Linked DNA regions of Kluyveromyces lactis. The protein of the gene in region 2 interacts with the protein of the main gene of each other region in a pairwise test. Links are inferred from orthologs where the notes say so. Each region holds a gene or a part of one and is shown on either strand. Other genes may lie near its edges.

What was found.
Region 1: the proteins of KLLA0_D15543g (region 2) and CKS1 interact in binary tests that used the Saccharomyces cerevisiae proteins (3 or more experiments, as listed by UniProt). The link is inferred for Kluyveromyces lactis from reciprocal best matches to the Saccharomyces cerevisiae genes CLB2 and CKS1.
Region 3: the proteins of KLLA0_D15543g (region 2) and SIC1 interact in a two-hybrid assay, tested with the Saccharomyces cerevisiae proteins (2 studies listed by BioGRID, with this or other methods). The link is inferred for Kluyveromyces lactis from reciprocal best matches to the Saccharomyces cerevisiae genes CLB2 and SIC1.

Annotation. Positions count from the first base shown.
Region 1 is NC_006039.1:1,374,570-1,376,712, reverse strand, and holds CKS1 (cyclin-dependent protein kinase regulatory subunit CKS1), read left to right. Parts: upstream 1-1,162; coding exon 1,163-1,561; downstream 1,562-2,143. Other genes in the region: HSL7 (protein arginine N-methyltransferase), read right to left, coding at 1-805; protein kinase MEC1, read left to right, coding at 1,970-2,143. UniProt on the Saccharomyces cerevisiae protein: Binds to the catalytic subunit of the cyclin dependent kinase (CDC28) and is essential for its biological function.
Region 2 is NC_006040.1:1,312,461-1,315,932, reverse strand, and holds KLLA0_D15543g (cyclin family protein), read right to left. Parts: upstream 2,174-3,472; coding exon 554-2,173; downstream 1-553. UniProt on the Saccharomyces cerevisiae protein: Essential for the control of the cell cycle at the G2/M (mitosis) transition. Interacts with the CDC2 protein kinase to form MPF. G2/M cyclins accumulate steadily during G2 and are abruptly destroyed at mitosis.
Region 3 is NC_006040.1:497,205-499,732, forward strand, and holds SIC1 (cyclin-dependent protein serine/threonine kinase inhibiting protein SIC1), read left to right. Parts: upstream 1-1,142; coding exon 1,143-1,946; downstream 1,947-2,528. Other genes in the region: BOS1 (Bos1p), read right to left, coding at 1-318, 434-436; GTPase-activating protein RGD2, read right to left, coding at 2,205-2,528. UniProt on the Saccharomyces cerevisiae protein: Substrate and inhibitor of the cyclin-dependent protein kinase CDC28. Its activity could be important for faithful segregation of chromosomes to daughter cells. It acts in response to a signal from a post-start checkpoint.

The DNA of each region.
Region 1 (2,143 bases), on a different chromosome or scaffold from region 2:
CCATACCATGTAAAACGATAGCTAGTTCGCCAAATGTTGATGCGTTACCGTTAACACGTTGGAACTCAGTGATTAAATGCTGATTAAATTTATTCAATACAGGGTAATTGTATTGATTTGTTGTGAATATGGATGCAGAGATCAAAAGACATGTGACAGGTTCGCTCAGCCATCTGTTTAGCACAAAACTGGGAGTCTTCTGTCTAGGTAGAGCTAGAGATACAGTCAATTTAGGCTCGTATCCGCACATTTTCCTGATCGTGTTCCACAGTTCCCAAGTCGAAAGTGGATCTGAATCTTCAAACAAAGGTAACGAAATAGATATTGTCGGACACGCTTCTTTAAAAGTATCAAATACTGTACACAAAGATTGTGCGTAGTAATGAAGCGTGTGTAACTTTTTAGGAGGAGCTAAGATAACCTGTCTGATTCCAACGAAATTTGCATAATGCAATTCGTGCTCCAACACTTGCAAAGATAAAGTCCGGACATCAGCATCATGGCTCTCGAGCTCTAAAAAGTAAGAGACCAATCCAATATATGAAACATTTCCATTAGATGGCAATACCCCCAGCTCTTGCAATTGAGGAGGATCTAACTTTAGTTCTTCATTCCATCCATGACCGTGATCTCGAAAATCTTCAAACTTGGCCTTCATGGCATCCTTGTATCTGGTATTTGTCAAGGGCAGCAGCACATAGTCATAATTCTCTACTCTTTTATCTGTAGAAGAAGTTCCAAGAACATCAGCGGAATGTTCACTGTGAGGTTTGATCCCGACGAAAACATTACTTCGACTTGCCATTTCAGCACATACAAACACACAAACGCAGCACGCAGAACAGTTTCACAACAACAGTCAAACGTTTATTGGTAAACCCTTCTTCAGCTATACCGTAATTATGGTAGACACTACACCAGTGATAGCTCTGTGTCCTATTCTTTTACCTCATCTCTGACCATCAATAGTGACGGATCTGGTTTCTGTCCTAAACAATATTTATTTTCATTTTTTTTTTGTAAACAATACTATTTTAATACCTAAGATCTTTTCAGTTATGCTAAAGACATGATATGTGATGAGCGAATAAGATCCAGCATCAGTAGTCTAGGGTTAATTAACACTCCAATTGTATAGCTTAAGTTGTGATCGAATCTAACAATGTATTCGACGCACGCTTTCCAAGGCAGAAAGCTTTCTGATCAGGAAAGAACGAGAGTTCTCGAATTTCAAGATAGCATTCATTATTCACCAAGATACTCCGACGATACACACGAATACAGACATGTAATGCTTCCCAAGGCCATGCTAAAAGTGATACCTTCTGATTATTTCAACGGAGACACTGGTACTTTGCGAATCTTAACAGAAGACGAATGGAGAGGGTTAGGAATTACACAATCTCTGGGATGGGAACATTACGAATGCCATGCGCCTGAACCACATATTTTACTATTTAAGAGACCACTGAATTACGAGGCTGAAATACGTGCGGCGCATGCTGCCGCACAGCAGCAGCAAAAATCAATTGCTGCAGGCCAACAAAGTCAAAATATATGAACTACCCACTAAAGACTTTAAAATGAAATAATAAGAAAATCGTATTCCAGTTTTACGCGTTACACTGTTAATAAGAGAGAATAATGTTTCCCCAAAGATCTGCAATTCCTGGCTGCACACTTTGTGTAAGTTAGTCTTCTGTTGTCAAACTTGCAAATGGCTTAAGACGCCTGAATTGTACTTCTGGAGAAGTGTTTAGCATATGTACATACCACATTTATGTATGTGTTGAGATTCCTTATTGATACCAAAATTTGTATATAAGTCAAATTATAAATAATGAAACTAACCAAAAACAAACGCTGGACTATGAAAGAAACACAGTTTTCTCTCGTTAGGGCGTCCTAGGTGAGTGTGATTGAGAGTGCAGTTGCCGTGTAAGAGTAATATCTTCTCAGCGTATAGGAAATGGATAATCCTAGGGTAAAATATCTGGAAGAACTGATACTGGCGTTAAAATCAGCAGGAACTGTAGGAAATGGTATAGAGTTAGATAGCACTTTGCAATTAGATGAAAAGAATGGGAAATTACTACAGACATTGTTGAAGAATACGCAATCTACGAATACGGATGAGGTGATC
Region 2 (3,472 bases):
GTTCAGAAACATGCTAAGTGTACATAAGAAGTAAATTATTTGAAGTGGTTATACTTTAAAGGGTAAGGGGTGGGTATACCTATGATTGCAACATAATGCTGATACTGATGATCCTGAGAGAACTCTTTCTGAGTTTTTGAGCAGGTGAAATATTAAAAGTGAATTGAAGTAAAGGGTTCACTAAGGTCTAAATCCTCATTTTATCTGTTGAATGGAAAACACATTGACACATGTGGGTTGGCTAGATTAATTATTACAATGTTTGTTTTCTATTATGATTAGTATTAGTATAGTTATCGTTTTTTTTTTTTTTTGGGTTTAGTATGCTTTTAGAATGCCTCCCTTTAACGCGCAACATGTACTATTCCACTTCCCAGAAACTAATTGAGTATTGGATCAGATTGATTCCATATCTCTGACCCCGTGATTCGAATTTCTTCTTATAGGAAAAAGTCCCTCGATAACATTTCATATTGGCACTACAATGGCCAATCATACTCAGTAATTAAGGCCGGAAGGATCATGGTTTCTTTAAATGATCGAATCTCGTGATTTATTCTGAATCATGTAGTGTCATTATATCATAGTTGTGGGACATGACTTTCTTTGCCCATTGTCTAGAAATTACCGATGCTTTCATAAATCTTCTCGAAGCGTATTTCTTAAACAATTCATCATGTACAACAGGCTGGACCAAATATTCCATAACCATATTACACACGGGAGCTAGTTCGTCTTTGGTATATCCTCCACTATAGTGTATTAGATTTCCATCCCATTGGCCCTTTCCTAACATCTTTCTCGATAAGAACATAGATGCTGCGGCGCACAATGAGGGTAGAATCCCAATGAATTTGAAGTCAACTATGGATATCTCAAGCAAATATTTCGCCAATGTTCTGGATTGTATATCATAGTCATCTGCCTTAGATATCCTTCTTAGGAAATTCATGGGATTTGGATAATTGAGATTGAACTCTAACGTTTTTAGAATAAATTTCTCTCCTTCTTTGATTTCTTCTTCATCGCATGCACCATCCGTTTCGTAAGCGAAGTGTTTCACACTGGGGCTATACACTTCTTCATATTTCGAAGCGATGAATAAGCACGCTGTTCCTACTAATTGTAGTTTTTCCAGCTGTACTAACTCTTTGCAAAGGAATCTATCCATGATATTCAACGCCAAATATAAGGTTTCCGGCAGTAGGCCAAACTTGTTATGAATCTTTACCATCCAGTTAACTAAAATATCCCTATTTTGCTGAATGTTGGCATGTTTGAATAGTTCGTGTCTGTTAGGCAAAGTCATCATTTCCAATCTGTGCAAATATTCAAAGATATCTGTAACATATTCGCTTACCATGAAGGGATCATTGATATCTTCTTCATCAAGATCTTCCCATTCATATTCTTTACCCTTTTCACATACTTTAAATTTCTTAGGTAACGTTTGTTCAACGACAGTGCTTATTGGTCTCTTTTTCGAATCCTCAACCTGAAGTTGCTTTGCTCTCAATTCGACACTGCTAGCGCTATTGTTAGCATTTTCGTCAATTGGCATAGGCGCAAGGCTGTTTCCGACGTTAACAGCAGGGCATTCATTGCTACTCTTACTTCCACTACTGGCATCATCTGTTGCGTCACTGCCATCGTTGACGTTTTCGTGAAAAGCGTTTGTGGTTTGCATCTTGAAATCAGCTTCATTATCTGAACGCTGAACATTTGGGTTGACGTCGTGAACGCCGTCATTTTCCGTATGCTCACTGCTGTATGTTGATGATGATGGAGCAGACTTTTCAGTATCCAGATGTGAATATCCAATTATTTCTTGTCTTTCATCGATCGTAACATGCTTTTGTGTACCCAGGGATTTGTGATTATGAACTAGATTAGAATCCAGCTCCTCTCTTTCATCAATCTTAGCTAGCGGATTGTAATTCTCCTTATCCTCAGGTACCATTATGTCATCTCTCAATGGTGCCGGTTTTGTGTTCGAATACGAGTTTGCGGTACCCTGGGGAAGATTATTCGTCCTGCTATTCTGCAGTCTTGATTTAGCCTGCCTCAAAACTTTACCGAACGTAGATTCAGTAGTATTAGTAACATTGTTTAACACTGGTCTTCTTAGCATGTTCAAGTTTTTCAAGCTTCTATCATATTTATCCTTTGACATAATGCTTTGACAGAATTGTCTTTAATTTAGTTTCTGTTAAAAAGAAGAGATCGGAAAGAAAGACAATTGCACTTTCTTTAGTACCTGCTTTAGCAATCAACTCAGTCAACTATTCTATTACCAATTTCCCAATGAGTTCTGCAGGAGATCAATAATTAAGAGTTATACCAACAGATCTTGATTCCAGTATAAAAAAACTCTGCGATTCTTTTTAGGAGCAAGACGTAGGATCTCTTGATCAACTTGCTTTCTGCTATCACTGTCTCTACCGATAGCAATGTCTTCACCGCTGGCGATACTCTTGGTAGTATGTTTCCTATCGACTATTGTCAACTATGGACTGGGATTGTTCAAAGCTAAAACCTCTTTATTGAAATAATGAATCTGAAAAGCTTGGATCAGATTCAGATTCGATTTGGAAACTAACCTATTGAGGAAGTAACAAAACAATAATAAAGAAACAGCAAGGGACAACAAACCAGAAAAGTTCAAAAAGAAAAAACAGGCTCACTCCAATCGGAACAATACAAATTCTTCACCAGTTGTATGGAAAGATTCACCGAAAAAGCTTTAAGAACCGTGAGAAGCTTTTGTGATCGTTCGCTTAAAGCCTACTTTTTCTCTATCGTCACTGAGACAGACGCAGCAAAAACTTCTTACTTCTAAGATAAAGAAGAATACCTCACTACAGATGCTTCAACTGTCGGGAGAAGTAGCACAAAAGAAATTTTAAATGTCTACAAAGAACCTCTACGTTGATTTATGGCTTCATAGCAGACGCCCCTCCCCTTCACAGAATCTAATGAGGATTCCCTCAGTCACCGAACGTTGTCGTCATTCTGTAATAATAACCAAAAGAAAAATGTAACCACAAGCATGGAGTACCCAAAGGAATACTGCAATGGAGTATGCGCAGTGATGCCCTATCCCCCCAATCCGCTCAGTTGCTCATATAGTCAGTTGATGCTTCTTTGTCAGAAAGGTAGCACCAAATTACAAAGCGATGAGCTTTTGTGAAAAGTCCATCGGTTTATTTACATTTTTCCTAAAACGTAAATATGCATAGTTGTTTACCTTTTTCCTTATTAGGAAGTGTTCGATCAATAAAGAAATCAGGCCGTAGCATGAGTGCAAACACAGGACCTGGCTCTGGCCCTATTCCTGGCACTGGCTGTTTTTCTCCCTAGCGAAGTTAAGACTATTCATACGCGCGATCGTTGGTGAATTCCAGCTGCAAAATGCTGTTTGTGTTTTCTCTGTGCACCATTTTAAAGATGACAATTGCTATAAACGATAATT
Region 3 (2,528 bases), about 820 kb from region 2:
CAACTGATCTCTCGCATTAATTTCTGAGTATTTTTGCTTCAATTCGGTAAATTTCTCTTTTGCATCTTCGTAATCCTGTGTTAAGGTCTGAAGTCTCGTCTCATACTTTAGTTTAGTTTCGTCGTTGTCATCTGAACTATTTATTTGATATTGCTTGTATTGTTCCTTGTACTGATGAAGCGTTTTCTCGAAAGAAACAAGGGTTGTGGCGATCGCCCCTTGCAAAGAGATCGGCGCTGTTACGAGCTCTTTCTCAAATTTACCCAAGTCTTTATTTAGAAGACTTCGCTGCTTGATGGCATGATTATACAACGCGTTCTAGTGATATCGTGGGAAACAATAATTAAGGTAAGTTAGTAAATAAGTAACACATACGCGACGCGTGTCTATAAATGTAGAAATACAATTAGAGCAGCGCTCCAGCGAAACATACCATCTTAGCCCTGTTGTGATCGCAAAAATTCTTGATCGCTAATGAAGATCCAAAAGATTCAAGAAAGGAATACTCTTGAGAAATACAGGAAAATGCTGAGTCAAACGTTGAGCGTCAATCGTCAATTCTGATCGATCTGAATTATCCCAATGCGTATGAATGTTCCATAAACTTTCTTAGTTTCCAGTGGTTCCACTGCTCACAGACGCAATCCTTGTTTAGAAGTTATTTACTGCTACTCAAGTATGACTGCTAAATTGTTGCTGGTTCAATATTATTAGTGGTTCACATTAAAAAAAAAATTAAAGATGCTGGTTTTGAGTCTCACATATATCTATATATAAAGATAGTTTAACAGCGAACCATATCCAGCATAGAGCGGTTGCATACGCACCTAAGTAATCGAATCAGAGTCTCTTCATATCAAATTCCTTCTTGACGATAGTGAGGTTACTGGAAACTGGTTTCAACCTACTCTGCTTTTTGCTTCATTATAAGTTGCCAGATTTTCAGTCCGTTTTGTTTTAGACAGAAAAAGGGATATCATCGGTATAGTATACATTCTATACCATCTTTGCTACTTTTCATTTAGATCTCATCAACACACCGATACATCTGAAAACAATATCAATAGCTTTCAATTGGTAATACTAGAGTTTATCCTCTTTTTTTTTTGCATTCTACGCATTACACTCTTATTTCCATAATAATGACCCCAGCTACCCCTCCAAGTTCTAGGAATAAGAGATCAAATAAGACAGATTTGCTGCTCGCAACTCCAGAGCGAGCCGCGGAATCTGATTCCTCTGGCATGGTTACTCCGGGGACAGTTAGAGTAAAGGATAGATTGCAGCCACCTACTAGACCCATGAATTTAACAAGTCCATGCCCGGCATTAAAGACACCTGAATATACCCCACATAAGAACAAACATACGAAACGCAGGATAGAGTTTGACCAGGAGAAGTTACAACCTGTCAGTAGGGTCTTGTTCGGATCGGATTTCCAAGTAGAAGAAACTTCAAACAACAGGACTTTGCTACCACCAAAGAGAACCGGTATAATGGAGTCTTTCAAAGGCGTTCAAAGTTATAATATCAATGATGAGTATGCTGTCAATAACAAATTCAAACTTGCTAAACAAGAGCCAGGAACTCCAAGTGACAAGATCACCACCTTTGAACTTGCTAGAAAATGGCATAACGAGTCTGGTCTGAATACATCGCAATCAGAAAACGAAGAAGAAAATATTCATATTGAACAACAACCTACGGCAGTCAACCAACATAGTAATTTAGAGAATCCATTTCTTTCGAATAATATTGCTGATGAAAAACTGCGAAAAGAACGTAAAGAGAAGATGCTACTTGAGGACCCTGATTTGGAAGATACAATCACTTATGTGAATAAAGGAGGGAAGGTCGTTTCTAAAAGACATTTGACTGACGATGAGAAACAAAGGTTTAAACCTACGAGACTCTTTGCTGAAGAAATAGATAGGCATGATGGGTAGGTAAGACACATGAATAAAACGGGTTTTTATTTTTTATTTTTAACTATAGCTAACGGTACCGACACAATTCATAAGGAAAGAAGGGTATGGAATTCCCCTGTAACACTACATAACAAAAACTGCTAAAACATCATATTTATAAATACAATACTTACGATAATTTTCGTAGAATATTTCAGTGAAATAAGATTGTCGTTTTTGATCGTCGCAGAGTGTTAATTCTATGTAAAAGTCATATATATTAACAAAAACCCTTCATCAACCCCTGGATGATGGATTTGATCCTTTTCTCTTGAGTTCTTTGAAGATTTTCTTTCTATGCCTCAACAAATCTTCAAATACTTTGTATCCAAGTTCATTAGCTGTTGGCAGAATTGGATGTATTAGGCAATTTGCAAACTCTTGGCTAATGGCATCCCGTAAATTTTCTGCAAGTTCTTGACTTTCTTCAGATTTATTCATTCTAATGATTTCAATTAGTCTCTCGAAATGGGTTGTGATCACATCTAAGGTCACCATATTGGATTTTGATAATGTGGATAATGCAGTGGTAAGACCACGGACCCTTTGGTTTTCGGTTTC